Macaca fascicularis: one gene and its partner. The protein of the gene in region 2 purifies or fractionates together with the protein of the main gene of each other region. This does not show direct contact. Links are inferred from orthologs where the notes say so. Each region holds a gene or a part of one and is shown on either strand. Other genes may lie near its edges. The genes, in order: PLD2 and DNAJA2.

What was found.
Region 1: the proteins of DNAJA2 (region 2) and PLD2 purify together in Homo sapiens (affinity purification with mass spectrometry; 3 studies listed by BioGRID and IntAct, with this or other methods). This does not show direct contact. The link is inferred for Macaca fascicularis from reciprocal best matches to the Homo sapiens genes DNAJA2 and PLD2.

Annotation. Positions count from the first base shown.
Region 1 is NC_088390.1:4,901,132-4,916,597, reverse strand, and holds the start of PLD2 (phospholipase D2), read right to left. Parts: upstream 7,240-15,466; 5' UTR 7,183-7,239; coding exon 7,031-7,182; intron 6,882-7,030; exon of another isoform or gene 6,536-6,881; intron 6,245-6,535; coding exon 6,135-6,244; intron 6,034-6,134; coding exon 5,903-6,033; intron 5,743-5,902; coding exon 5,600-5,742; exon of another isoform or gene 5,480-5,599; intron 4,918-5,479; coding exon 4,812-4,917; intron 4,721-4,811; coding exon 4,655-4,720; intron 4,524-4,654; coding exon 4,465-4,523; intron 4,326-4,464; coding exon 4,233-4,325; intron 4,140-4,232; coding exon 3,987-4,139; intron 3,207-3,986; coding exon 3,057-3,206; intron 1-3,056. Other genes in the region: C16H17orf114 (uncharacterized protein C17orf114 homolog), read left to right, coding at 5,650-5,692, 11,948-12,114; PSMB6 (proteasome subunit beta type-6), read right to left, coding at 14,801-14,943, 15,070-15,214, 15,414-15,466.
Region 2 is NC_088394.1:42,889,625-42,904,321, forward strand, and holds the start of DNAJA2 (dnaJ homolog subfamily A member 2), read right to left. Parts: upstream 11,750-14,697; 5' UTR 11,650-11,749; coding exon 11,572-11,649; intron 10,032-11,571; coding exon 9,972-10,031; intron 9,656-9,971; coding exon 9,432-9,655; intron 5,953-9,431; coding exon 5,872-5,952; intron 5,417-5,871; coding exon 5,283-5,416; intron 2,575-5,282; coding exon 2,378-2,574; intron 1-2,377. UniProt on the Homo sapiens protein: Co-chaperone of Hsc70. Stimulates ATP hydrolysis and the folding of unfolded proteins mediated by HSPA1A/B (in vitro).

The DNA of each region.
Region 1 (15,466 bases), on a different chromosome or scaffold from region 2:
TCAAAATAGTGTTTGCCCATATACGCTAAATACAAATAAAAATTACAAAAAGACACAATAACCTAATCAACTAAAGAATGGGGGGATTACTACATCATACATAAAGAACACCAATAAGTCGACAAGAAAAAGTCACATGAGCCAACGGAAAAATGAGCAAATCGTAAGAACTGACAGTTCACAGAGAAATTAAAATGGCCAGTTGTGGCAAATGATGTTCTGTTTCACTAGTAAACGAAGAAGTTAAAATGAAATTACATTGAAAATATCCATTAGATGGGTAATAATTAAAATCATTAGTAACATTCAATATCAGCATATTAGCATATCAGAATGTTATTCAATATGCTGGGGAATATTCAGTATGCTGGGGAAGTGGGTATTCTCATAGACTACGGGAATATAACTTTTAGGAGACAATTTGGCAGTATCAAAAAAGAAAAAAAAAAATATATATATATAGCTTTTTTGAGATGGTGTCCGGTTCTGTCACCCAGGCTGGAGTGCAATGGCACGATCTTGGCTCACTGCAACCTCCGCCTCTTGGGTTCAAGTAATTTTCCTGTCTCAGCCTCCCAAGTAACTGAAATTACAGGTACCCGCCACCATGCCTGGCTGATTTTTGTATTTTTAGTAGAGACGGTTTTTGCCATGTTGGCCAGGCTGGTCTTGAACTCCTGACCCCAGTGATCTACCCGCCTCGGCCTCCCAAAGTGCTGGGATTACAGGCATGAGCCACAGCGACTGGCCAGCAGTTATCAAAATATTAAATGCACATAGCCTTTAATATCATTAAATATGCACAGTAATTTTACATCTAGGAATACAACCTACACAATGCTTAGGCAAAGATCATGTTCATCGCATTGTGTGTAAGAATGAAAAATGGGAAATAATCTAAGTATCTAATCTCTCACACATGTATTAAGTGAAAAAATAAGTCACAGAAGAGGGTGCATGATCTCATTTATGTTGAAACAAAAGTAACACATGCCTGCACATGTGAAAATATGTAGGAAGGCCAGGCGAGGTGGCTCATGCCTGTAATCCCAGCACTTTGGGAGGCCAAAGCGGGTGGATCACTTAAGGTCAGGAGTTCATGACCAGCCTGGCCAACATGGTGAAATCCCATCTGTACTAAAAATACGAAAATTAACTGAGCATGGTGGTGCATGCCCGTAATCCCAGCTATTCAGGAGGCTGGAGGCAGGAGAATCGCTTGAACCCGGGGGGCAGAGACTGCAGTAAGCCGGTATCATGCCACTGCACTCCAGCCTGGGCGACAGAGCCAGACTCCATCTCAAAAAAAAAAAAAAAAAAAGGCCGGGCGCGGTGGCTCAAGCCTGTAATCCCAGCACTTTGGGAGGCCGAGACGGGCGGATCACGAGGTCAGGAGATCGAGACCATCCTGGCTAACACGGTGAAACCCTGTCTCTACTAAAAAATACAAAAAACTAGCCAGGCGCTGTGACGGGCACCTGTAGTCCCAGCTACTCGGGAGGCTGAGGCAGGAGAACGGCGTGAACCCGGGAGGCGGAGCTTGCAGTGAGCTGAGATCCGGCCACTGCACTCCAGCCTGGGCGACAGAGCGAGACTCCGTCTCAAAAAAAAAAAAAAAAAACCCAACCAAACAAACAAAAACAACCTCCGTCCATGACTGCCCTGTGCCTGTGATATTAGCACACGGGAGCCTGTGAGATCAGCTGCCACTGACTCCCAGCCTCTCCTCTGACTGCTCCTCCTCACTCAGTAACAACAATATGTCCTGGTGGTTCCCAAACGCCCTGAGCTATTTCTGTCTTCTCTGCCTGGACTGTTCTGCATTTTCTTTATCTCGTATAGTTGCATGAGGATCAGCAAGTGTACGCTGTTCCCATGCAATCACCAGTCCTATCAAAATATAGGACATTTTCATCGTCCTGGAATGTTCCCTCGTGTGCCCCGTTTGATTGCCCAGACAATCTTTGCCCCGTACCCTGCCACAGGCAACTGCTGATCTGATTTCCATCGCTGTGGATCGGTTTTGGCTGTTTTAGAAGTTTATAGCCGGGCGCGGCGGCTCACGCCTGTAATCCCAGCACTTTGGGAGGCCAAGGCAGGTGGATCACAAGGTCAGGAGCTCGAGACCAGCCTGGCTAACACGGTGAAACCCCGTCTCTACTAAAAAATACAAAAAACTAGCCGGGTGAGTTGGCGGGCGCCTGTAGTCCCAGCTACTTGGGAGGCTGAGGCAGAAGAATGGCGTGAACCCGGGAGGCGGAGCTTGCAGTGAGCTGAGATCTGGCCACTGCACTCCAGCCCGGGCGACAGAGCGACACTCCGTCTCAAAAAAAAAAAAAGAAGTTTATAGCCGGGCGCGGTGAGCTGAGATCAATAGAGCAAAACTCTCAAAAAAAAAAAAAAAAAAAAAAAAAAGGAAAATGTTTGTTAAATGAAGGACTAAATCAGATTTGAGAAGATCATAGAGAACAGAGAGGGTCAGTATGGTACAGGGGGGTTTAAAAAGTTACAGGAGGTTACAGACGTCAAGGGTCAGAAGAGATGACCAAGTCTGAGGGTCAGAAAGGTCAGAGCGAAATCAGAGAGATCAATGTGGTTAAAGATATCAAAGATCAAGAAGATTAAGGGCCGGGCGCGGTGGCTCAAGCCTGTAATCCCAGCACTTTGGGAGGCCGAGACGGGCGGATCACGAGTTCAGGAGATCGAGACCATCCTGGCTAACACGGTGAAACCCCGTCTCTACTAAAATACAAAAAAAACTAGCCGGGCGAGGTGGCGGGCGCCTGTACTCCCAGCTACTCGGGAGGCTGAGGCAGGAGAATGGCGTGAACCCGGGAGGCGGGGCTTGCAGTGAGCTGAGATCCGGCCATTGCACTCCAGACTGGGCAACAGAGCGAGACTCCGTCTCAAAAAAAAAAAAAAAAAAAAAAAAGAAGATTAAGGAAGTCACAGGGTGGATCGCTGAGGTCAGAAGGGTTCAGAGGAGATAAAAGAGAGGGTGAAGGACTCAGAGACAGGGGGTCAAGAAGGCCACAGAAGGGATGTCAGTGTCTCACCACCGGGCCAAGGTCCCAGGCCGGGATGGGGCGTAGCTGTCATGCTGGTGCAGGTGTAGGAAGTCTCTGCCTGGGCCCCGTGCCAGCTCAGTGATCTCTTGGGCCCACCACCGTGCCTGCCGGTAGCTGCTGCACTTGAGAATCAAGGACCTGGATGGGAACGATGAGATGGACCATAAATCCTCGCCCTCCATACATATGATCTTGCCCAGAGACCTCCCCTTTCTTTCTCACTTCCTCCCTTGGTCCCTAATCACAACTCCACAGAGACAGGGCGTGTATGTATCTGCCTTATTTGTTTATTTATTTTTGAGACAGAGTTTAGCTCTTGTCCCCCAGGTTGGAATGCAGTGGTGCGATCTCTGCTTACTGCAACCTCTGCACCCTGGCTTCAAGCGATTCTCCTGCCTCAGGCTCCCCAATAGCTGGGATTACAGGCCAGCACCACCACGCCTGGCTAATTTTTGCATTTTTAGTAGAGACAGGGTTTTACCATGTTGGTCAGGCTGATCTCGAACTCCTGACCTCAGGTGATCCGCCCGCCTCGGCCTCCCGAAGTGCTGGGATTACAGGCATGAGAAACCATGCCTGGCCGTATCCACCTTACTCACAGTTGGAGCCTAGTATTGTATCAGCAACCAGTATTGTACCAGGCACTCAGGTTTGTTGAATGAACAAATGAACAAATGGAATTTCCTTTATGTCAGCAGTTCCTTTCCTGGGCTTCTACTAATCCCCTTTCTCTGGGCCCAGTCTCTAAGAGCAGTCCCAAGCATCTGGCTAGACCAGTTCCCTGGTTCAAAACTATGTCCGGATCCCGGGAGGTGGAACAGCCTTCCTCTCTACTGTGGTCTCTCTTACTCAACCCCCAGCAGGGCTGCAGGCTGGCTCACCACTCAGCCGGTGTCTCTCACCCCAGGGAGGCCTCACCTGTGGGAGGTGTCGATCCGCACTCCGTACCGTGCCTCCGTGCTCCTTTTCCCCACCTGCACCTCAAAGCCGGGGTCAAAGAGCTGAACAAATGAGATGGCACCCGTCTCGAGGCACATGTACAGCAGGAAGGAGTCCTTCACCACCAGCCACCTAGAGCAGAAGGGCTCCCTGTGTTCCTCTCTGCCCTCGAAATTTTATTCCTCACCCCCACCCACTGCCCAGCTGCTGGGCCATAGCCCTTACCTCTTGGACCAGCGATAACAAACTTGGTCTCGGCCACAGCAGGTGAGGCCAGGAACGCGGTGGCCACCTGAGCGCTTCCGGATCGTCCCCTCCCTGTGGGGCAATCAGGAAGAGAGGCTGGATGAGGACTCCAGACCCCCAGCCCACCCTGCACTGCTTGCCCCATTCTCAGGCAGGGAGAAATTAAGAGGGATGTCTACAGATGCCTGGGTGAAGGGGGCCAGACACTCACAGCCCTTTGCAGCCCAGGTCTGGGATAAAGGACAGCTGACTGACTTCCAGGAATTCTGTCTGCAGAGGAAAACAAAAGGCCAGAGGAGATACCTGGCTTTCAGCTCCTCAGACCCTGGGGCCCCTGGCCCTCCTCCCCCTGAGGGTCTGATGATCCTGCTCCACATCTAAAATCAGCTCCTGGACCTTACCAAGGCATGGTAGTTGCGATAGAAAGACATGGTCAAGAGGCGGTTGAGGTAATTCTCCAGGTATTTCTAAAGTGGAGATGAGAGAGAAAAAGACAGATGGGACCAGAGTCATTTGCACATCCAATGCCTTCCCAGAGGACCTGGCATCTGGTCCCACCTGTTTGCTGGCTGCATGTCTGGTAGAGCCCTCAGGACCTGCCCGGGGTAGAGAGGGCATCTCTCTGTTGGCTGCATCTTGGGCTGGAGAATAGGCAACGGCAAAACTGTGGAAAGGATGGATGAGGTTCAGGTAAGAGCTGGGAGGCTGGGTGCTCTGGTTCCTGAAAACACTGGAGATGGGGCTTGGAGGAAAAGAAGAGGCCTGGAGGTGGCCAGGTGTGGTGGCTCATGCCTGGAATCCCGGCACTTGGGGAGGCTGCAGCAGGTGGATCACTTGAGCTCAGGAATTTAAGACCAGCCTGGGCAACACAACAGCACCCCATCTCTACAAAATATACAAAAATTAGTTGGGTGTGGTGGCTGTGGTCCCAGCTACTCGGGAGGCTGAAGTAGGAGGGTTGCTTGAGCCCAGGAGGTTGACATGAGCCAAGATCATACCAGTGCACTCTAGCCTGGGTGACAGAGGGAGACCTTGTCCAAAACAAAAACAAAAACCAAGCAAAAGTCCTAGAGTCTGGCAAAAGGAAGGCCCCCTACCCTGGGAATGGAGACTAGAAAAGGGTGAGGCTGCCAAGAGTATTTTGGGCATCCCGCCCAGCTGAGATGCTGGCACAGAACCATGGACAGGGAAAGCTGAGCAGGGAAAGTTTCCTGGTAACTGGGGTCAGGGGAGGGGCCCAGTGGCCAGAGTTGCAGGGAGGAAAGATTGTGGCCTGGGGGTGAGACAGGCAGAAAGGAGGGTGGGGGGCACCTGCCCTCTACAGGACTCAGTCTGATTCCCCTCACCGAGCCAGAGGGAGCAGACTCATCAAGACTTTGTGTCTCAGGAGGTCCCGATGCAGCTCCTGAAAATGACGGAACTTCTTCTTGGTTGTCCAGGTAAAGTCGCCGTGAGTCAAGCGGACAGAATACAGAGTGCAGGTTCCTACCTAGGGGTGTGAGGAACTGAATGGATGACCCCCGTGTTGAGTCCCCGCCTCCCCACTCTGGCCAGCTCTCCCTTTCCCTCTTCCCTGGGGCCAGCCCAGCCACCTTGGATCCATTCCAGGCCGCCCTCCCTTTCCCCCTCCCTGGGGCCAGTCTGGCCACCTTGGATCCGCTGGTGTATCTTTCGGTGCCCACCACCTGGGCTGTGACAGGGACCCCAGGTGCGAACACCAAGGGGTGCACTTTCAGAGGCTGAAGCTCATAGATGGCCAGAAACGGGTGCATCCGGTCGGCTGGGAAGAAAGAAAGTCGAGGAGTGTAGACCCCCACAGGCCCCAGCCCCCTGGCTCCCCACGCCTCTCCTCCCCGAGGGCCATCCATATTCCCTGTGTACCTGGGTCCTCTCCCTCCCTCAGAGTGTCCACCTCATCGGACTCCATCTGGAGCTGGCTGGAGTCCAGTTCGTCCCCAGTGGGGAAGAGGCTCTCAGGGGTCGCCATCATCCTAGGAATATAGGGAATCCTCAGGGAGGCGAGTTGCCCTGCAGCACCCGCCCCCCATCCTAACTCCTGCAGGTCCTCCATCTCTTCCAGGTCCTCCTCTTCCCCCACAGACTCCTGACCGCCCGCTGATGACGACCGACCAGTTTGCAACGCCCCACCGACCCCTTCGAGCCCCCATCCGCTATCTTAGTCCTTCATCCACAATCCCAGTCCCAGTCCCGCTCCCCGACCCCCGCCCCGTCCCGTAACCAGAGACCCGGGGAACACCCAGCCAGGCCCGGAAGGCTCCGACCTGGGGCGGCACAGCAGCTGCGCGGGGAAGCGGCCCCGGGTGGTCGGGAGAGCGCGGGGCTACGGGGCTTACGCCAGGCCAGGAGGGCCGGGGGCAGGGGTCCAGGCAGGAATGAGGAAGTTACGCGATCCCCGCCGAGGGGAGAAACCCCGAAATCTGAGCGTGCGACTGAGTCTGGAGGCTCCGCAGCCCGAGCCCTTTCCGTCCCCGCCCGATTCCCGGGACCGGGGACCCCCGCGCGCCCCTTCCCGGCCGCCTCACCCTGGCAGACGGAGCCAGCGCCCGCGCGGGTTCCCGAGCCAAGCGAGCAGAGCGGAGCCGGAGCCGCAGCCGGAGCCCACGCCCCAGCAGGCCGGGGCGGGGCTGGGGCTCAGGGCCTGCCCTCGGGGGCGGGACGGCCCCCGGCCTCACCTCCGCGGGATTCTCGTCTGTCCTGTCCCGCCCCCGCCGCCCTCGGCCCGCCCCGCCGCCCCGCCGCCCCGCCGCCCCGCGCACCACCGGGAGCCCGGGGGCTGCACTGTGCTCTGCAGGGCCGCGGGGCCGCGCAGCTCTCTCGGTGAGACCGGCAAGTGCTGCAAAGCGTCGGGGCTTTCCGCGCCGTCGGTCCCAGCGTGCCCGCCCGCCGGGGCACCCCGCGCTGCGCGCATCCTTCCGCTTGGCTCCCGCCCCGGGCCCCTCCAGCCGCGGGCGCTGCCTCGGCCCCCGGGGACACGCGCCTCCGCTGCGGGAGCTGCCGGTGGGTGCCCCTCTCCCAGACTCGCTGCGAGCCACGTTCGACCTAGCCCAGATAGCGTTTGTACCTGGAAGGAATGAGGGCGTAAAAGGCCCGAGGGGTGGTGGCTACAAACCCATTAGTGTAAGAAAGCGGGCATTCTTTCATTCATTCACCAAACATGTATTGCGCGCTTACTCCTTGCCAGACACTGAGCGTATGGTAGTAAATAAGATGGTTACGGAGCCTGCTCAGCTGGAATTGACAGTCTAGGGGGGAAATAAAATTTTTTTCGGGTATTAAAATACAAGAGATTTCAATCTTTTTTAAAAAGCAGATTTATTTTTCTCTTCTTTTGATAGACATGTGTGTTTCCAGTTTTGCCCGTTGTTTTAGCTCGTGTAAACATCCCTGTCTTTGTGTGGATAGTTTTCCTTTATCTTGGGTAACTAGCGAGTGGAGTTGTTGGATCATGTAAGTGTATGTTTAACTTATAAGAAACTATCACACGATTTTTTTTGAAATGGTTGTTACAGTCTAGATTTCCAAAATCAGTGTATGGTGGTTCCAGTTATTCTATGGCATAGCCAACATTTGATATTCTAAATCTTTAGCGTTGGCCATTGAATGGATGTCATAGGCACACCATTGCAATTTGATTTGCATTTATCTGGAGATCAATGATATTGACCATGTTTCATGTGCTGATTGGCCATTTGTATGCATTCTTTTTTTTTTTTTTTTTTTTTTTTTTGAGATGGAGTCTCGCTCTGTAGCCCAGGCTGGAGTGCAGTGGCCGGATCTCAGCTCACTGCAAGCTCCGCCTCCCGGGTTCACGCCATTCTCCGGCCTCAGCCTCCAGAGTAGCTGGGACTACAGGCGCCCGCCACCTCGCCCGGCTAATTTTTTGTATTTTTTAGTAGAGACGGGGTTTCACCGTGTTAGCCAGGATGGTCTCGATCTCCTGACCTCGTGATCCGCCCATCTCGGCCTCCCAAAGTGCTGGGATTACAGGCTTGAGCCACCGCGCCCGGCTGTATGCATTCTTTTATAAAGTGCCTATTCAGTCTTTTGCTAATATTTATTTATTTATTTTTTTTGAGACGGAGTCTCACTCTTGTTGTCCATGCTGTAGAGCAGTGGCACGATCTCGGCTCACTGCAACCTCCCCCTTCTGGGTTCAAGGGCTTTCCTGCTAATTTTTGTATTTTTAGTAGAGACAGGTTTCACCATGTTGGCCAGGCTGGTCTCAAACTCCAGACCTCAAGTGATCTGCCCTCCTTGGCCTCCCAAAGTGCTGTGATTACAGGCGGGAGCCACCATCCCCGGCCTTTTGCTAATTTTTTCTTTTCTTTTTTTTTTTTTTTTGAGAGGGAGTTTTGCTCTTGTTGCCCAGGCTGGAGTGCAATGGCGGGATCTCGGCTCACTGCAACCTGCGCCTCCCAGGTTCCAGCAATTCTCCTGCCTCAGCCTCTTGAGTAGCTGGGATTACAGCCACCGGCCACCACGCCTAGCTAAATTTTTGTATTTTTAGTAGAGATGGGGTTTCACAATGTTGGCCAGGCTGGTCTGGAACTCCTGACCTCAGATGATCCACCCTCCTTGGCCTCCCAAAGTGCTGGGATTACAGGCGTGAGCCACCACGCCTGGTCATAAACTTCTAAATTTAAGGCAAAAACAATCTATAGTGATGGAAATCAGATCAGTAGTTGCCTGTGGCAGGGTGTAAGGAAAAGATTGCCTGTAAAGGGACACGTGAGGGAACATTCCAGGATGATGAGAATGCCCTATATTTTGATAGGAGTGGTGATTGCATGGGAGCATACACTTGTTAATACTCATGGAACTGTACGTTAAGATGTGTGCATTAAATTGTATGTACATTTTTGCTTCAATAAAGTTCATTGAAAGAAAAACAAGGCCGGGCGTGGTGGCTCACGCCTGTAATCCCGATACTTTGGGAGGCCGAGGTGGGTGGATCACGAGGTCAGGAGATCGAGACCATCTTGGCCAACGTGGTGAAACCCCATCTCTACTAAAATTACAAAAAATTAGCTGAGCATGGTGACGCGTGCTACTTGGGAGGCTGAGGCAGGAGAATTGTTTGAACCAGGGAGTCGGAGGTTGCAGTGAGCTGGGATAGTGCCACTATACTCCGGCCGGGTGACGGAGTGAGACTCCGTCTCAAAAAAAAAAAAAAAAAAAAAAGACTGTGTAACTCGGGCAGTATGTGTCATCAGCAACCTCACGTTTCCCACATTGTGGTACCTTCACGGAATGATGAAACAGCCCCTGTACAGCTTTACTTACGGGCACTTAGAGTCCTTGGCTAGGATGCTCTTGACTAGAGGGTCTCTGACTAGAGGACCAGAGCCTCGGCTCTGGCCACCCCAAACTGGCTGAGGGCATCGATGCTTGGGGACATGCTTCAGAAGCTCAGTGTACTGGTTAAAAGAGTAGATTCTGGCTGGGTGTGGTGGCTGACGCCTGTAATCCCAGCACTTTGGGAGGCTGAGGTGGGCGGATCACTTGAGGTCAGGAGTCCGAAACTAGTCTAGACAACATGGTGAAAGCCCATCTCTACTAAAAATACAAAATATGACTGGGGATGGTGGCGGGTGCCTGTAATCCCAGCTAATTGGGAGGCTGAGGCAGGAGAATCACTCGAGCCCTGGAGGCAGAGGTTGCAGTGAGACAAGACTGCACCACTGTAATCCAGCCTGGACAACAGAGCAAGACTCCATCTCGAAAAAAAAAAGAGTAGATTTTGGGGTCAGACTGACTCAAGGTGAGGGTTGTGAGGTGGGCATGGTTCCTACTCTGTACTGCCTGCCTGTGTGACCTTGGGCAAATTACCTTGCCTCTCAGTGCCTCCTTTTCCTCATCTGTAAAACCAGGATAGACTTACCAGCAAGGGACTTACCTCAAAAGATCTTTGAGGCTGGGTGTGGTGGCTCACGCCTGTAATCCCAGCACTTTGGGAGGAAGAGGCAGGCGGATTGCCTGAGGTCAGGAGTTTGAGACCAGCCTGGCTAACGTGGTGAAACCCCGTCTCTACTAAAAATACAAAAAAATTAGCCAGGCATGGGGGTGCACACCTGTAGTCCCAGCTATTCCGGAGGCTGAGGTAGGAGAATTGCTTCAACCCGGGAGGCGGAGTTACAGTGAGCCAAGATCGCGCCACTGAACTCCAGCCTGGGCGACAGAGTGAGACTCTATCTCAAAAAAAAAAAGATCTTTGACATGATTAAGTGAAATGAGATAACATGTAAAAGTTCCTAGCATTTACCTGACACAGCATCATTAATCAATTATAACCATCTTCATAACAGGGGACAGGAACCATCAGACCATTTAATGAGAATCTAACATTTCCCTGGATAATAAAGTTTCTTAGTCTAAAAAAATAGAGTATTCTTTAAAGTCTACATCTTGGGCACTCCAAGTCTCATTCTAAAATACAAACGAATCCCCAGCCGTGTCCAGCCTGGTGCCAAGTTGTCGGGCATTGCTATAGTGAAATTTTACTGTATCTGTCACGGCACCTCTGCATCTGTCCCTGCCGTGCTACCTCTCCCAACCACCTCCTGCTTCTCCATGGGGATCAGAAAGGACCCCCAAATTAATGGGGCATAAAAATAGGTGTCTGAATGGGAGTATACCCCAGCCCTTTCTTCCCCCCTCCTCTCCCCATTCCATCCCTGGCGCCTATAATCACCAGGCGGTCTGAAGCTAAGTGGTAGTTTTGCCCATGGTGGGGGGGCTCGGAAACCACACCCCTCTCCCGGGAGCCCTCCTGGCCATTCCCCACTCCAGTTGCCTCCACTGTTGAGATGGGTCTGAAGGGGGCATGGTGTTTCCCATGGTGCGGGTGCCGGAGACAGCGGGGGACTGAAAGAGGAGCAGGTATGGGGTAGACTGAGGGTAAAGTGGGGCTGTCAGGCAGTCAGACAGACAACTGCATCGCAGGGAGAGAGAGAAATGCTCAAACCACCAAAAGGAAAAGGCACATTTGTCTCCCTGGGTGGGAGGTGGGTCACCAAAGTCCTCACAGGACTGGCTAAATACTTTGTGGGGCCCAGTTCGAAATGCCTAAGAGGGGCCCCTCATTAACAATTTAAGAATTTCGGCTGGGCGCAGTGGCTCACTCCTGTAATCCCAGCACTTTGGGAGCCCGAGGTTGGCGGATCACGAGGTCAGGAGATGGAGACCATCCTGGCTAACACGGTGAAACCCCATCTCTACTAAAAATACAAAAAATTAGCCGGGCGTGGTGGCGGGCGCCTGTAGTCCAGCTACTCAGGAGGCTGAGGCAGGAGAATTGCTTGAACCCGGGAGGCGGAGGTTGCAGTGAGCCGAGATAGTGCCATTGCACTTCAGCCTGGCAACAGAGTGAGACTCTGTCTCAAAAAAAAAAAAAATTAAGAATTTCAAGATGGTGATAGCAGAACCCTATGCCAAGCACGGTGGCCCTTTTGAGTCTGGGGATCCTATGCAATTGCACAGGTCACATGCGTGTGAGCCAGCTCTGCTTGCTCTGCAACAGTCCCTCTCCCTCTCCCTGCTGCTGTCACCCACGCTCCTCACTGGTCCCCAGGCCCCAGGTGTCTTCCCTGCTTCCCTCCTCAACCCTGGGTTGGGGGCGAGGGAGGAGGTGAACCCTGACCTACAACTTCCTTCTTTCCTCTCCCATCTTTTAGGCCTGAGTCCTGCTGCCCCTCCAGATCCCAGTCCAGCTATAGCCCCCATCATGGCTGAGGGAGGGGTACCCTCGCCAGGGCCTGGTGCCTACTTCAGCAGGAAAGCCCGACTCTCCTTCCGCCACCAGCTGCATGACATAGCATCGGCCAATGACTCCACCATTTGAAGGGGACAAGGAGCTGAACCTCCAGGAAGGCTTAGCAAGCTTCCTTCCCCAGACTTCTCAGCGATCCTAATGTCCACCTCCCCAAGTCCTTTCTAACCTTCTCATTAAATATGTTCGTAGTTGCTAAGTGCTGTGTGTGTGTGTGCAGGGGAAGTAGATGGGGCCAAGGCTGCAGGGCTGGGTTATGGGGCTGAGATGGGAAGTGTTGCCTATGGTGGAGTGAGACACAGGAATGATGAATATGAGGCAGCTCATCTCATGCAGAGCCCAGGTGTGACAAGTGGGAAAGTAAGAATTGGCTGACATCAAGCTTCAGAGTTGAGTGTGCTGAAGACAGTCTGGGGTGGCTGGGGGCTGGGCAGGATGGCAGATGGGATGAGAAAGCATATTCATTCAGTAAAATGCCGAGTATCTACCCCTGCCAGGCATGGAGGAGATATCAATGAACCAGAAAGAAAGAATTCTGTCTTCTCACTGAGCTGACTTTCTAGTAGAGGTAGGGAGACAATCATACACAGGTAAACAACTAAGTGAACCCAAGACAGTGATATGTGCTGCTGTGAAGAAAGTGAAACAGGGTCATGTGAGAGTGGGACTAGGGGGTGGTGTTTCTCCAGTTTCAGGTGGTCGGGAAATGCCTTCCTGATGAGGTGACATTTGAGCTGAGAGCTGAATGATGAGTAGCCACGTGGAAATCGGGGAGCGATGTGTCAGCGTAGGTTTACTAGTTCCAACAAATGGCCATCTCTGGTGCAGAATGTTGACAGTGAGGGAGGCTGCCCACGTGGGGAGAGGAGCACATGGGAAATATCTGTATTTTCTACTCAATTTTGCTGTGAACCTAAAACTGCTCTAAAAAATGAATTTTAGGCCGGGTGCGGTGGCTCACGCCCATAATCCCAACACTTTGAGAGGCCTAGGCAGGAGTACGAGACCAGCCTGGCCAACATGGTGGAAACCCGTCTCTATTAAAAATACAAAAAAATTAGCCAGACGTGGTGGTGGACGCCTGTAATCCCAGCTACTCAGGAGGCTGAGGCAGGAGAATCGCTTGAACCCAGGAGGTAGAGGTTGCAGTGAGTCGAGATTGTACCACTGCACTCCAGCCTGGGGGACAGAGCCAGACTCCATCTTAAAAAAAAAAAAATTGCGAGGCCGAGGCAGGTGGATCACCTGAGGTCGGGAGTTTGAGACCAGCCTGACCAACGTGGAGAAACTCCGTCTCTACTAAAAATACAAAATTAGCTGGGCATGGTGGTGCATGCCTGTAATACCAGCTACTTAGGAGGCTGAGACAGGAGAATCGCTTGAACCTGGGATGTGCAGGTTGCGGTGAGCTGAGATCACGCCATTGCATTCCAGTCTGGGCAGTAAGAATGAAACCCCGTCTCAAAAAAAAAAAAAAAAAAAAAAACAAAGGCCAGCTGTGGTGGCTCATGCCTGTAATCCCAGCACTTTGGGAGGCCGAGGCAGGCAGATCACAAGGTCAGAAGTTCCAGACCAGCCTGGCCAATATGGTGAAACCCTGTCTCTATGAAAAATACAAAAACTAGCTGGGTACAGTGGCACGCGCCTGTAATCCCACCTACTTGGGAGGCTGAGACAGAAGAATCGCTGGAAACCGGGTGGTGGAGGTTGCAGTGAACTGAGACCAGGCCACTGCACTCCAGCCTGGGCAACAGAGCAAAACTCCGTCTCAAAAAAAAAAAAAAAAAAAAGGGTAGGCACAGTGGCTCATGCCTGTAATCCCAGCACATTGGTAGGCTGAGGCAGGAGAATCACTTAAGCCCAGGAGTTTGAGGTTACAGTGAGCTATGACAGTGACACTGCTGCCTGGGTGACAGAGTGAGACTCTGTCTCTAAAAAATACATAATAAAATTAGGCCTGAGGTGAGGTGGCACATACCTGTAGTCCCAGCTATCAAGCTCCTTTATGTCCCTGGCTTGAATGGGGACAGCTTCGGAGGGGCCAGAGTCCATTTTCAGCCTCTCATTCAAGGGGCTGATCACACCCTCCACCATGGGAATGGTGGCTTCCAGAGCTGGCCAAAAGCACTCCTGGTGGCTGTGTTCTCCCACTCAACTGTCATCTTAAATTCCATTTGCAAACAAGGCCCACCTTTCTCCCAAAAGCCAAGGAAGTCACAGTGCGCCTGTTGATCACAAGATGAGGTGATAGAGGTTAAGTGTGGAGAGAGGGGACCATGAGGCTGGACTGGAGGAAGCTGCTCTTTGTGGACTTAGGAGCAGTAGTCACCCATGGTGACTGGCAGGAAGCAGGCTGAGGAAGGTGACTCCAGTTTTAGTCAGAATTCCGAGTTCTACCTTGGGGTTGAACAGGGAGCGGGTGTTGCTGGTACCCCCAACACCAACCACAATCCAGTGGTTCAAGGACCTGGATATGGTGGGGGAAAGAAAGTTTGGGGGAAGGTGGTTTGGAGAAGAGGTTTGAAAACCACCCATGTAAAAGCTTATTGGGGAATCAAGCATTCATAACCTCCTTTCATTTCCTCTCCAACTTGCTCTGAGTTCAGTGCAATGGTTTATACAAATAGGAATGGGCCAGACAAATTCAACCTTGAAGTCAAAAAAAAGAACCCCAAAGTATAAAGATTCTCTGTGACAAACTTTATTAAATTTTGCATCAGTACGGGGTATCTCTTATTGCATACTAGAATCCCAGGATTCAGGGGGGCGGTAAAGTGGCAATGGCGAATTTGGGTATCTGGTCTCCCAAAAGTACTTGCCGCTCTACCCCTGACTCTGCAATGGCTGCCAGGCGGATCACTCCTCCACTGGAGCCATCCCGCTCCATGGCCAAAGCGAGAGCTGTGGATAAAAGGAGAAAGCTGGGTTCAGAGTCAGATGCTGGGATCACTGCAAGGAATGAGGAATGTTGGCCTGGCTTAGGTAGTTGGGGTTGAAGCTCACAGGCCCAGGAGCCTAAGCTCTCACCATTGGCAGTGAATTGCAGACACTCCTCCTTGGTCATGCCTTCCCGGTAGGTAGCATCCACATAGCCATAGATGTAGGAGCTCCCAGAGCCTCCAATGGCAAAGGACTGCCTTACCATCATACCCCCCATAGGCACTGAGTACACCTGCCAGATAGAAGGAGAGGAGTTACCAGTCGTATCCTCCCTCCAACACATGTACATTCACCTGTCCATTTTGCTATTGGTCTGAGGAACGTTAATAGTAAGAATAAGTGAGGTAGAGACTGGAAAGAAAAAGAAAATGGTTGGGGAGAGGATAAAAGGCCTGGCTCAAGTGTGCTCTGGTCGGGGGTGGGGATCTGACCTGCCCTCCTTCTTGAGGGTCCCAGCCTGCGATGATGATTCCCGCCATCAGGT
Region 2 (14,697 bases):
TGCCTCGAAATCCAATGATCTACTTTTAAAAAACCCAATTTATTATGCAGCAACATTAAAAACTAAACTTAGGAATAAAAAAAGGTTTTACCATCAGTTTGACATGCCTCAAACCAAAAAAATCATCTTTCTTCTGCAAATAAGCATTCCTTCTTCACTTCCTCACTACTGTGCTGCTGCACCTGCCAGACATCATTTGACAATGAACCCCAAACTACTCCAAGGATTCTATCAATGAAAATGCCTAGGCATTGTCTGTACCATTTTACAACACAGTCTAACCTACATCCAAGCAGAATTCCCAATTATTTAGCTGTCTTGCTAGCTTTCTCCCTCATATTCCTGGTATGGTGCTGTGCACAGCAGCAAGACTGAATGAACAAGGAAGTAGCTAAAATGTTAACAAATGGCAAATCTTGTAAATATTTCATCCTATAAGACCCAAAGGCAGAATTCTAAAAACTACTCTTATTTTTTGACAACCTAGGAGACGTTTGCTATTTGCAGGGTTGGCAATTTCCACAAAAAGCCAAAATACATAATTTGTAGCTTTGCTGAGTCATGAAAGCTGACTAGCACGCCCTGATTGTCCAGGAGATCAAGTCTGACCTTGTGAGGGATTACAACCAAATTCCTAAAACCTGGATCTCAATATGGCTCAATATGGCTCAATATGGCTCTATTGGATTCTTAAAGTGATTTTTAACATTTACTCTATTTGAAGAAATGACCACCACAGAAGGACGATCTCCTTCTTTATTAAATATATAACCTTTAAATTACAAACAGATAATCAGCTTGCCCACCTTTTTAGAATTAAAAAGAATAACCTTTCACTGAACATAATACAAATTTACCATTTCTCTGTGTTGACTGGACTTATGCACAGGAGAAAATTTTAGGGCAAACTAAAAAGGTAGTTAACCTGTGATGTAATGACTTTCAGAGGAAAGCATGAGTAAATGTGATCAAGTACAAAGCTAGAGTCCTACCAAGTGCTTCTAACATTCAAGAATTTACGTGATTACTGGAAGGGTTTTTCATGAATAGCTCCAGATATATTCTTTATGAGTAAGGTCTACAGTATATAATATGGACATTAAAAATATACAAGTGCAATGCTAAAATCAAAATAACATACACTAGGCTGGGCATGGTGGCTCATACCTGTAATCCCAGCACTTTGGGAGGTCGAGACAGGAGGACTGCTTGAGCTCAGGAGTTCAAGACCAGCCTGGGCAATATGGCAAGACCCCGTCTCTACTAAAAATACAAAAACAAAACAAAACAAAACAAAAAACCCCAAAAAACCAGATGGGCATGATGGTGCGTCAGTTGTCCCAGCTACTTGGGAGGCTGAGATAGGAGGATTGCTTGGGCCCAGGGGCAAAGGTTGCCGTGATCCCAGATCACGCCACTGTACTCCAGCTTCGGCAACAGAGCAAGACCATCTCAAAAACAAAAAAACCCCAAAACATACACTAGTGACCACATTCTTCAGAAACTTCTAAAAAAAATGTTTTGTTTTGTTTTGTTTTTTTTAAATCCTAGAACTCTTTCAAGGATAGCTCACTTGGCTACCCAATAAGTAAAAACCAAATCAACAGAGCAGCAGAGTTTCACAGTGAAAAAACAGGCTGCCTTAGACCAACTGGTCCAACGCCCAGTGCCCTTATTTTCATAAACAAAGAAACTGAGACAGTAAGACTACCTACGGTTAAAGTGCTAGTCAACGACCAAGCTAGAGGAGAATCGCTTGAACTTGGGAGGCGGAAGTTGCAGTGAGCCAAGATTGCGCCACTGCACTCCAGCCTGGGTGCAGTCAAAAAAACTCCGTCAAAAAAAAAAAAGACCAACGCTGGGTGCAGTGGCTCCCGCTGTTAATCCCAGCACTTTGGGAGGCTGAGGCAGGCGCACCACCTGAGGTCGGGAGCTCAAGACCAGCCTGACCAACATGGAGAAAGCCCGTCTCTACTAAAAATAAAAATTAGCCAGGAGTGGTAGTGCGCGCCTGCATTCTCAGCTACTCAGGAGCCTGAGGCAGGAGAATCGCTTGAACCCGGGAGGCAGAGGTTGCAGTGAGCCGAGATCACGCCACTGCACTCCAGCCTGGGCAACAACAGTGAAACTCCATCTTGGGCGGGGGGGGAAAAAAACCAAGCCAGGACTAAAACTGACTCTTATAGTGCTTCTAATGGCACCTGCCTTGTTAGTCTTTCTTACACAAGCCTGTCTTTAGGAATTTGCCATGATTCCCTTAACTTCTCCAGTGTGCAGTGTTGCTCCAGGGACTCCAAACAGATCTAACCTATTTCTCACAAACAAGAAGTACTTCTGAATAAAACAAAACACAAAAAACTAAAAAAAGGAAAATCACCTCATGTTCTTTCTCCTGTAGCAAAAGAACAATGTCTCCAGGTTCCACTCCTGGGGCCTGGTCTGCTTCCCCAGTGAATGTAATTCTCTGTCCATGTTTCATGCCTTTGTCTACGTGGACTTCAAGAATCTTCACTTCTTTAATCACCTTCTTCCCTTCACATTTTTTACAGCGGTCTTTTTCATTAATTACCTCTCCTGGAAAAAGAAGTCATTGAAACTTTCAGCAAGAGTACTATACTGTACTCTTTAATACTCTTATCCTTTAAATATACTTTCTGAATTTTTTTAAATAGCTACCTAAATTTTTATTCAAAGCAGCATTCTGAGGCCAAGCATAGTGGCTCAAGCCTGCAATCCCAATATTTTGCGAGGTCAAGGTGGTAGGATCACTTGAGCTCAGGATCTGAGACCAGCCTAGCAATACAGTGAGACCTTGCTTCTACTACAAATAAAAAAAGTTAGCCGGCATGGTAGTGCACACCTGTAATCCTGGCTACTCGGAAGGCTGAGGAGGGAGGACTGCTGGAGGTCGAGGCTGCAGTGAGTTATACTCATGCCACTGCACCCCAGTTTGGGTAACAGTGTGAGGCCATGTCTCAAAACAAAACAAAAAAAAGCATTATTCTGAATAACAAAAACTTAACATCTTACTACTGCAGATTGCCTGAAGGACTCAGCTTCCCACTATTTCAGAATGTAATGTATCCATACCATGTTTAGGGCAACACGGCTTTTCTCTTCTATATATTCTTCTGAAATATTTAATTATGGTATAAAAAAGCAAAACTGTGATTATACATAGTATAGTGTGAAAAAATTGCGTCACTTTCTAATGGCTAATTACTGGCACATTTGGAGGCTTAGAAAGATGTGTATAACTGATTATTTAGGGGCTGTTTCTGTAACAGTACTTTTGCAAAGTATGTTCTGCGAAACACCAGTTCTTCAAAATGGTAATGGTGGCGGGGCATGGTGGCTCACGCCTGTAATCCCAGCCCTTTGGGAGGCCAAGGTAGGAGGATCACCTGAGGTCAGGAGTTTGAGACCAGCCTGGCCAACATGGCAAAACCCCGTCTCCACTGAAAATACAAAAATCAGCCGGGTGTCATGGCGGGCGCCTGTAATCCCAGCTACTCAGGAGGCTGAGGCAGCAGAATCACTTGAGCCAGGAGGCACAGGCTGCGGTGAGCTGAGATCGCGCAACTGCACTCTAGCCTAGGCAACAGAGCAAGACTCTGTCTCACATTTAAAAAAAAAAAAAAAAAAGAAAAAAAAAAAGTAATGGTACATGAGAAAAGATTTCCGTTAACTTTGGTTTCTTGATAGTGGGAGTTAGCAATTTTAATAAAATAAAAGCAGGCCAAGAGTGGTGGCTAACACCTGTAATCCCAGCCCTTTGGGACGCTGGGGCAGGAGGATTGCTTGAATCCAGGAGTTCGAGACCAGCCTGGGCAACATGGCAAAACCCAGTCTCTACAAGAAATACAAAAATTAGCTGGGCGTGGTGGCAAGCACCTGTGGTCTCAGCTAATTGTGGGGTGAGGGGCTGAGGTGGGAGGATTGCTTGAGCGTGGGTGGTGGAAGCTGCAGTGAGCCGAGAATGCGCCACAGAACTCCAGCAACACCCTATCTCCAAAAATAATAATAATTTTAAAAAATAAAGTAAAATGCCAAGATTATCCAGGAAGCAAACATCATATGTAGCTTCTCATAATTATCTCATCACTTCCAATAGCAATGTGGAAAAGGATGCTCTTGAACTATACTGTCTAATGTGGTAGCCACTATCTACCTGTAGCTACTTAAGTTTATGTTTAAATTAATTCAAATTTAAAATCGTTCCCCAGTCACACTAGCCACATGTGAAGTATGCAGTAGTCACAGGTGATTAATGGCTACTGTACTGAACACTGCAGATACAGAACATTTCCATCACCACAGAAAAAAATTCTATTGGATAGCACTGCTCTAGAATGGCAGGGGTGGGAGGAGCTACTTGTTTTTATAATTAAAATTTTAATCAGAACACAGCCATACCCATTTGTCTGTGGCTATAAAAGCACTAAAAGTCAGAGGTGTGTAGTTGTAACAAAAACTATTTGGCCCACAAAGACTAAATTATTTACTTCTGTGAGGACAGTTTCAATCTCAAAATCAATTCTTTAAAGCTAACTAAAGGTTACAGTAAAATCTTCTACTTATCAGAGTAACTAAACAATTACTTGTTTAGTTATTTATTATTTATTTGTCCCTTTGTAGTTTAAAAGGTTCTACTTGAGAAAGGAGATAGTCCTCCCATGGTGGTCATTTCTACAGAGACAGTATATAAAAGGTTATATTTGATAAAGAAGGAAATAGCAAAGGAACAAATAATCACCTTGCCCCTCTTTTCAGAATTAAGGAGTCACCTTTCACTAACACAATACACATCTACTGTTTCTCTACGTTCACTGGGCTTAGGCATAATGGAGTAATTACTTTCACGCTTTTATTTTTGCAACAGGGTCTTGTTCTGTCGCCCCGGCTGGAGTGCACTGACATGATCACGGCTCACTGCTCCCTTGAACTCCCGGGCTCAAGCAATCCTCCCGCCTCAGCCTCCCAGGCAGCTGGGACCACAGACATGCCCTGAGCCCCTGATTACATATTTTTCTACACTTTTTTTCCTATAGTAATGAGGTCTCCCTATGTTGCCCAAGCTGGCCTCGAACTCCTGGGCTCAAGCAATCCACCTCTGTCTCCCAAAGTGCTGGAATTATGGGAATAAGCTAACGCATCCGGCCTCCTTTTTCTTTAATAAGATGTAAACAAATACCCTTTGAAATAAAAAATTGTAAACCTCTCCAATATCTGCATTCTCAATCCATTTCAACATAAAAGCAGAGAAGTACTGGCACACATACCTTCTCCATTACAATCAGAGCATACAGACTGCATCTGTTGTACCATTCCTGGAGCCAGCTGTCTGATCATGATGCGCACACCCCGACCTCGACAAGCACTACACTTCTGGACAGCTCCAGACTTTCCACCTTGGCTAAAGCAAACACAAGTTATGCATTAGGTTTTTGTCCACAGACCACTCCAATAAGCTATGACACACAGAAACTGTACTTTTACCTTAACTTCAACCCCAATAACTTGTATTTAAACACAATAACTTGTGTTTAAATTGACTTTCAGAAGTATCAGAAAACGTTCTCCCAAGATTTATTTATTTATTGATTGAGATGGAGTCTCACTCTGTCACCCAGGCTGGAGCGCAGTGGCGCAATCTTGATTCACTGCAACCTCCACCTCCCGGGTTCAAGTGATTCTTCCGCCTTAGGTGATCCACCCACCTCGGCCTCCCAAAGTGCTGGGATTATAGGTGTGAGCCACTGCACCCGGCTGTAAGTTTTAACTCATAACAATTTTTACCTGGTACAGACAATCAGTGTGACACTTAAAGAACAGACAAAATGTACCCAACAAACCAGAGGACACACTTACCCACTGCATGCACTACAGAGTACATTCTTGCTAAGTTGGAGTTTGGTTGTCTTGCCATTATACAGATCTTCTAATGATACTCTGGAAAGAAAATAATCAGCTTCAATCAAATTTTGCCACATTTGCTCAAATACAAGATATAAATAACAGCTGATACAGCAAATTCATTATCAACTTTTAAAACAGAATTCAAAAACACCTCATAATCTCACATTAAATCATTCAACTGAGGTTTATTTTATGGCTGAAATTAACAGAAATATTTTATGACTACAGACAGTATATATGCGATACTCAAAGTCAGAGCCCATAGCATCAGGTCAACAATTTGCTGTGGTGGAATTTCTGATAAAGCTGATGACTTCACAAACTCAAACATCACAACCTTCTGTTCTGAGGCATAAGCCCTCCACCCAACTCCTAAGAAAAACACTTCAGAAGAGGTACGATTATTATTCCCATTTTATGTGATAAAACTGAGGCACAGAACAGTCAAGTAACTTGCCCAAGATCACATAGGTGTCTGGCTCCAGAGTCCCTGTTTGCTCCATGGACAATTTAGAAAGGCTACAAAGTTGTATTTCAGCTTAAGTGAGTCACTTAGATGGCATATGTCTTAAAAAAAAAAATAAAAGTGGCCCTACCAATAGTATGACAGAAAGGAGGGAAAGAATCGTTTTTCATGCCAGGTGCAGTGGCTCATGCCTATAATCCCAGCACTTCGGGAGAATGAGGAAGGATTGCTTGAGCCTAGCAGTTCAAGACCAGCCTGAGCAACTTAGAGAGACCTCATCTTTACCAAAAAATAAAAAATAATTAGCCAGGAATAGTGGCATGTCTGAAGTCCCAGCTACCCAGGAAGCTGAGGCAGGGAATTGCTTAAGCCCTGGAGATTGAGGCTGCAGTGAGCTGAGATCGCACCACTGCACTCCAGCCTGGGGGACAGAGTGAGACAAGTACTTATGTGTGGAGTTTTCTACTTGTGGCATCATGATGGTGCTCAAAAAGTTTCATATTTTGGAGCATTTCAGATTTCAGATTAGGAATGGTCATCCTGTAATGATCTGCTTTAAAATCCTGGGAGTTACAGGAACAAAAAAATAGTTAAAAGTATTTTACAAAGCACCTACACTATTTTGTGATATTCAAACTTTCTCAAAATTGTTATTCTCAGAAACTATTTTTTTTTTTTTTTTTTTTGTTGAGACAGTCTCCCTGTGTCGCCCAGACTGGAGTGCAGTGGCCGGATCTCAGCTCACTGCAAGCTCCGCCTCCCGGGTTCACGCCATTCTCCTGCCTCAGCCTCCCGAGTAGCTGGGACTACAGGCGTCCGCCACCTCGCCCGGCTAGTTTTTGTATTTTTTAGTAGAGACGGGGTTTCACCGTGTTAGCCAGGATGGTCTCGATCTCCTGACCTTGTGATCCACCCGTCTCGGCCTCCCAAAGTGCTGGGATTACAGGCTTGAGCCACCGCGCCCGGCCTATTCTCAGAAACTTAAAACTGTTGTAGACAGGATAAAAATTCCACATGTAAGGACAAAACATTACCAACAACACCGTCAAATAATGACCTATCTACAGCTGAGTCTTAGACAAAAAAGCTTGTTGCATCTTCTATACTCTCTGTAACAAATCATTTTTTAAAAATCGGCTTTTTCCCCCTACATATTAAATTACAATTGATATGCACAACCAGTACCCTAAGCCAGAAAAAAAGACACATTTCAACAAAGAAGGCCAAGGAAAGAAAAATGAAGGTAATGGTTTGGCAGGGCTGGCACTCTCCACTAGTGGGGCCTAAACTGGCACAATCCCTCTGTGCAAGGCAATTTAGTTGTATTTATCAGCCTCAAAACACTCATGCCTGCCTGGGAATCTCTGCCAAGGAGAAACAAAGCTTTACATAAAGATACTCATAGCAGCACTATCTATTACAGAAAAAAAAAACCTGGCAATACCTTATATAAAAGGTAAATGATTAAATCATGGAATGCAGTATTATAAACACAGTATTTGTAATAACAGGAAAATTTGAAATGTTAAAACAACAGAAAACTGTTTTACTATATAGCATAACATTTCTTTAAACATGAAGAACTATAAAGTACAGACAGCACTCTTTTGATCCTATTTTCTTTTTAGATCATTTCTATATTAAAGAAAAATATAAACGAATTAACCTGCACTGCACAAATATTACCATTGGAATGGTATTCAAATGTTAATTTCTGAGGGCAAATTCTTTTAAAAAACAAATTTAAGGATTCAATGAGACTCAAGTTAACAGATAACATGACTTCCTCTAATTTACTCAAGTGTATAAACTAGGATATTATGAAATATTTTAAGTATCTGAACTTCAGCCACTGACATTTGCTAATAAAATAATTTATCGAAAAAAAGAATGGGAAAAAAGACCTCCCAGATTTTGCAAAGTGAAATAGCTAATTTCATATACTGGAGAGGGCTTGTGGATTCACAGTCTAAGATCAAGGTCAGGCACCATTCATGTGCTGGCAGGTTAATGTCAGGCTGGAAGCCAGCAAGCTCCATGGAAACCAACTTAAGAGAGTTCACACTGAGGATCAAGTAATGAGTGACTCTAACATGTACACAAAGTAGGCAGACAGTCACTCATTTTTAGTTTTTAAATAAAAGGTAACTTGGAAGATTCATATACTTCAAAGAAAATAGGCTGGGTGCAGTGGCTTATGCCTGTAATCCCTGATCACCTGAGCTCAGGAATTCAAGACCAGCCTGGCCAACATGGCAAAACCCTGTCTCTACTAAAAAAATACAAAAATTAGCCCCGCATGGTGGCAGGTGCCTGTAATCCCAACTACTTGGGAGGCTGAGGCAGGAGAATTGCTTGAACTTGAAAGGCGGAGGTTGCAGTGAGCCTAGATGGTGACACTGCACTCCAACCTGGGTGACAGAGTCAGACTCCATTTCAAAAAAAAAAAAGATCAGGCATGGTGGCTCACGCCTCTAATCCCAGCACTTTGGGAGGCCGAGGCAGGCAGATTACCTGAGGTTGGGAGTTCGAGACCAGCATGACCAACATGGAGAAACCCCACCTCTACTAAAAATACAAAATTAGCTGGGCATGGTGCCACATCTGTAATTCCAGCTACTCGGGAGGCTGAAGACAGGAGAATCGCTTGAACCCAGGAGGCGGAGGTTGCAGTGAGCTGAGATTGTGCCATTGCACTCCAGCATGGGCAACAAAAGCGAAACTCAGTCTCAAAAAAAGAAAGAAAAGAAAAAAGAAAACGATCTTTACACTTGAAATTTTAAGTCCTATAATAACAAGCAGCCTCAGAACCATATAAAACCACCTTCCTCTCATTAAAAAATATCTACCATCCTTTTAAGAGCTACAGCAAAATAGAAACAGTCAGATAATCAAATTCTATTTAGTCACCAAAAGAAGACAAGGCACATGGAAGTTTTTCTAATGAAGGACAGAACATTCTATGAGTTTTTTTTCTTCTACTGAGTCAATATTCCACTTGACAAAAAGTACCTAATTTTTTAACACAACAAAACAAGATATTCACTTGAGTGGATGCATCATGTCCTCTCCTCTTCTTCTGCCATTTCGACTTCGACTCTGATTGCCCATGAAGCCGAACAATCCCCCACCAAAAATGTGAGAGAAAATATCATCCATGCCACCACCTCCGCCGCTGCCTTCCCGAAGACCTTGCTCTCCGTATCTGTCATATAACTCACGCTTCTCAGGATTTGATAGTACTTCATATGCAAAACTTATTTCTTTAAACTATAAAGAAAAGGTAAAAATAAAAATAATTACATTTTCAAATAGAAGAGTGGGGAGAGGCTATAGGAATCCAGAATCCATTTAATTCTAATAAAAGGGACAAGTTACCTTTGACTTGATTCTGCTTCTATTTACCACCCACCACTCCTCAGAATGGTAGTACTCTTATTCTAAAACTAAAATACTCTTTGACATTATGAAAATGTGGCTGTGTGGGCATAGTTGGATTTTTTTCCTGCAACATTCCTTTTTTTCAAGGAGGGCAATTTAAGTTAAAACTAAAACCCCCGGAATAAAAAAATCGCAAATAACTTACTTTGTCTCCTGCATTTGGATTCTTATCAGGATGATATTCCTTGGCTAACTTTCTGTATGCCTTTGAAAATGGACAAAAACAAAGAAGGTTATAACTAAACACCAGTTTAAAGTTTTGTAATAACTTAACATCCACTTTTCTGAAAAGTAATGTTCTAGAGTTATAACCTTCCAAAAATATTTTCTATTCGTATTCTTTGGCACTTCCTCACGATACTGTTTACTAATGTAATATAACCAAGTAGACTGTAGCTATACTTGAAAATAATTACAGTGACGTGAAAACCAGATAAAACAATGAAGCAATACCATAGGGAAAACGTTCAAACATTATCCATATTTTCCCTATCGTCAAGTGTCTGATGGCCAAGTAACCAGACCAAGACCACTCTAATAAATTTGAGATAAATGACTGTCAAGCTTTACGGACTGCAAAACATTACTATAAATCAAGCTAAAGTCACAATTCCTGCTCCCGATGGCTCAGGCCTTCCTTCTAACTGTAACATCATGAAAAAGTCAAGGTGGTCCCAGGTAGTGTCTTTAGGTGTTTTATTTGCACGTGGTGGTTAACTGGGGTCGTGGTGGCAACTTCGGTGGTAGTGAAGTTGCACACTCTCAACGAGGTGTTTGGGTCATACAGCACTTAAATCTTCATTTACGGAGGCTCGTGAATTATATAATACAGACTAGCATTTCCGGTAAGGTAACAGGAAGTCCACTGCACTCTTCTCACTGCCTAAGGAGCATTCTCATTTTTCTCGGCTTACAAATCCGGATGCTCTTAGCCCGGTGAGGATGCTGTGGGGCTTAAACGCCTCGTGTGCTTTGAAATCCTGAGATGAAAGATATCGCAGCATTGCAAACAGCGATAATAAGGCCTTCTATTCATGTTTATTGCACACTCAGGCGTTTGGCTGGGACCACGGCTTATTCCTAAGCAGGTACAGGACATTAGCATTACCTGACCACAGAACAATGCATCCAAACACAGACCCACGCTACCTCCGGGTCAATGGGCGAGGGAGGAAGAGAGGGAGGAGCTCCCGCAGCCCGCAGCCGGGGATCCCAGGAAACAACCCCATCTGCCCGAGGCGCTCTGTGGGGGCGGCCTCGACCTCCCCGCCGGACCTCCCCGCCGTTTTTCCCCGCGGAGCACCAGACCCGGGGCCGACGGCCGCGGGGTGGACAGCTTCTCTCCCGGGGCCGGGATGCGCTGAGCACCTCGGTCCAACCTGTTTTTCCGGGGTGGTGACCTCGACGCGGAGAGCCGGGCGAGCTGCTGCCTCCTGGGGGAGACCGGCCACCGGCGCTCGCCCGAGGAGGGAGGAAGGGCTACCGTCGTGTTTGCGCAGGAGTGAGTTTTATTTGCTGCATCTGCGGGCGGGCGGGGCCGGCGGCCCAAGGTCAGCCGAGGCCGGAGGGCGCGGCTCGCCGCGAGGCCGGTCCCGCCGCTGCCGCCGCCGATCCCCAGCCCGGGCCCGTCACGGCCGGCGCCGGCTCGCGGGCCGCCCAGTAGCGCGGCCTGGCTGAAGAAGACATCCCCGGCCGCGCAGGCCCCGCGCCCCTCACACCCGCCCGCCCGGCCCGCTCCCGGATACCTTCTTCAGCTCGTTCTCGCTGGCGCCGGGCGGGACGCCCAGGATGTCGTACAGCTTCGTGTCAGCCACGTTAGCCATGGCGGCCGGCCGGGCAGTGCTCAGGAAGAAGGTGGCGGAGCAGACAGAGGAGCCGGGCCCACAAGCGGCGTCGGCAGCGGATCAGGCCGAGGGAGACAGCGAGGGGGAAGCGGGGGCGGGGCTGAACTTTGACCGGGCGCACGGTGCGCCGTGACGTCGCAGTGCGGAGCCCGCCCCCGAGCGCCCGAGGCGCGGCCACTGGGTCGGGGTGGTGAAGAGTGTGGCTGGTTCTCTGATCTCCTCTGGGTCCAGGCTGCTGTGCTGGGCCGACGTAGGAAATGAACTCTACACGGCGCACCCCAGGAATTCAGCTTCCTCTCAAAGGCCATGGTTGCGACGTCGCGTGTTTAACCTCGCACTGGGTACTGAGGGGATTAACAGGCCTACGCGGCAGCTTCGTTAGCTTCGAGTCGGTCGGGAAAGGAAGTGGGCCCCGGCTCCTGCAGGAGGCCAGCCTGGCGCGCAGAAATCGTTCTCAGAATCCAGGACGTCGGTGGACCCTCTGGGTCTGGCTCCCTCGGGGCTTACGATGAAAAAAACTGGGGAGCGTGTGTGTGTGTATGTTGTGTTTTATGTTATGGGAATAATGAAACATTCAACAAAAGCAGTCTATTACACCCCGTAGTGCAGTTAGCTACATTTTACCAATTTTGTTTCATTCGCTCCCCTATACATCTCTGGTGTTTTCAGGGAAACCGTTTCATTCATAAATACCCTGAGTGTATATATTTAAGACAACTTTTAAAAGCATGACGACGTAATCTCATCTAATGAAATTAACAATTCCTTAATCTAATTCCCAGTCTATATTTAGGTTTTTCAAATGATCGCATGGCCTTTTACAATTGGTTTGTGGCATTCCAGTCCAAACCAAGGTCCACGTGTTGCTTCTGGACCACGTGTTTAAGCCTCTTGATAGCTTTAAAATTAGCTAATACCAGAGGTTTAGATGGTGTAAGGCAACTCTGGCCACCAGGTGACTTGATTTACATTCGTTTTAGTTTCGCTCAGAAAGTGAATGCTGTGCATCTACCACGTGCTATGATGTACAGAGGCCTGGTCCGGAGAGAGGAGTGTTACAAAAGTGCCTGCCTTCAACCCATTTACGGTTTACGGAGACAGAAAAGTAAGATTTTATGATCCCTTGGAACCTGAACTGATAGCAAAGACTTCAGTATAAGCATCTTACTCAGGATAATGTTTCTTCCTTGGCGTTCCCCTTGACCTAGTTGTGGAGGGCCTGAATGCCATGACAAGGTCTCTGAAATTTAGCCCGAAAACCCTAAGAGTAATCAGTGATAAGTCATTGATAGTCCTTAAACCCTTTTCCTCAAATCCCATCTGAAATCCTGCTCCCTCTGTGAAGTCTTCCTTGACTGGACACTGGTGAACACTGCTGTCTCATTCGAGTTCCCACCACCCTTCGTTTGTACCTTTTGTGGTACAAAAAATGTGCAACAATGTGGTAGGATCCCGAACTCTTTTTTTTTTTTTTGAGACAGTGTCGTTCTGTCCCTCAGGCTGGAGTGCAGTGGCGCGATCTCAGCTCACTGCAACCTCCACCTCTCGGGTTCAAGTGATTCTCCCACCTTAGCGTCTCGAGTAGCTGGGATTACAAGCGCCCATCACCATGCCTGGCTAATTTTTGTATTTTTGGTAGAGGTGGAGTTTCACCATGTTGACCAGGCTGGTCTCGAACTCCTGATCTCAAATGAACCAGCCATCTTGGCCTCCCAAAGTGCTGGAATTGCAGGCCTGAGCCACTGCCTCTGCCAACCACGATTGCCGTGTAAATGCTGACATCCTCCTCATGCATGGCTGTGAAATCCAATTCTCTACTTTTCACATTTTGAGATGTTCATAAGAAAAGGTGTAAAGTTGTGGCGAAGTTAGATTGTGTCGGTTGGTAGTCTGACTCTGTCATTTAGGAACAATGTGACCTTCAACAAGTTAACTTTTCTGAGGTGGTTTCCTCAGGTGTAAGATGGGGCTTATTATTTTTTATATCATTGGTTTAAAAGAGTTAATACATTTCTGTTACTTAGGGCTGGGCGCTGTGGTCTGTAATCCCAGAACTTTGGGAGGCTGAGGTGGATGGATCACTTGAGGTCAGGAGTTTGAGACCAGCCTGGCCAACGTGGCAAGACCACCTCTCTACTAAAAATACAAAAATTAGCTGGGGGTGGTTGCACACCCCTGTAGTCCCAGCTACTCGGGAGGCTGAGGTGGGAGAATCCCCTGAGCCCAGGAGGTGGAGGTTGCAGTGAGCCAAGATCATACTACTGCACTCCAACCTGGGTGACAGAGTGCAACCCTGTCTCAAAATAATAAATAACTAAAATTTTAAAAATTACTTAGAAGCTAAAACAAATTAAGTATTAACTATTGTTTTTGGCCTATTTGCTTACATTGTCTTTACTCATTTAAATTTCTGGCTTTTCTACTGGGATTCCCTGACTTCCTCCATTACCTATGGGAAACGCCCGTCTGTCCCTTTTCATGACCTCGTCTTCCCAGATCTCCTTGCTTGTCAGTCTCATTTCTCTGTTAGTTCCTGCTCCACGTGAGAATATGAACTGAAAATCTGTCTTTATTGCAACCTTCATATTAATTTATCTTTTTTATTTCATATTGTTTTATCTTATTAGCCTTCTGCCCGTGAACAGTTTAAAAGGGCTGGAGTTTCCTATTTGTTTCAGTTTTACTCAGTTTTTTTTTTTTTTTTCCAAGGGGAAAAAATTCTCTCTTGATGCCATTTTAGCTTCTGATATTGTAATGAAGAGTAGCTGGGTAAATTCCCTCTTTTGTTCTTGTTATTATTATTATTATTATTTTTTTACCTGACTAGACCAGTAACCACAGTAACTATTTTTGAATTTCATTTTCATTTCTTTGCAATATTTTCTCCACTTCTGCGTATTAATTGTAGTCAGCATAATTTGCTAATTTTATGGCTTGAGTTATTTCAGAAGAACTTTGTGTGTTTAAACTGACACAGGCTCTTCTCCCAAGAATCAGAGACTGAAGTAAACCTGTGTCACTGTAATG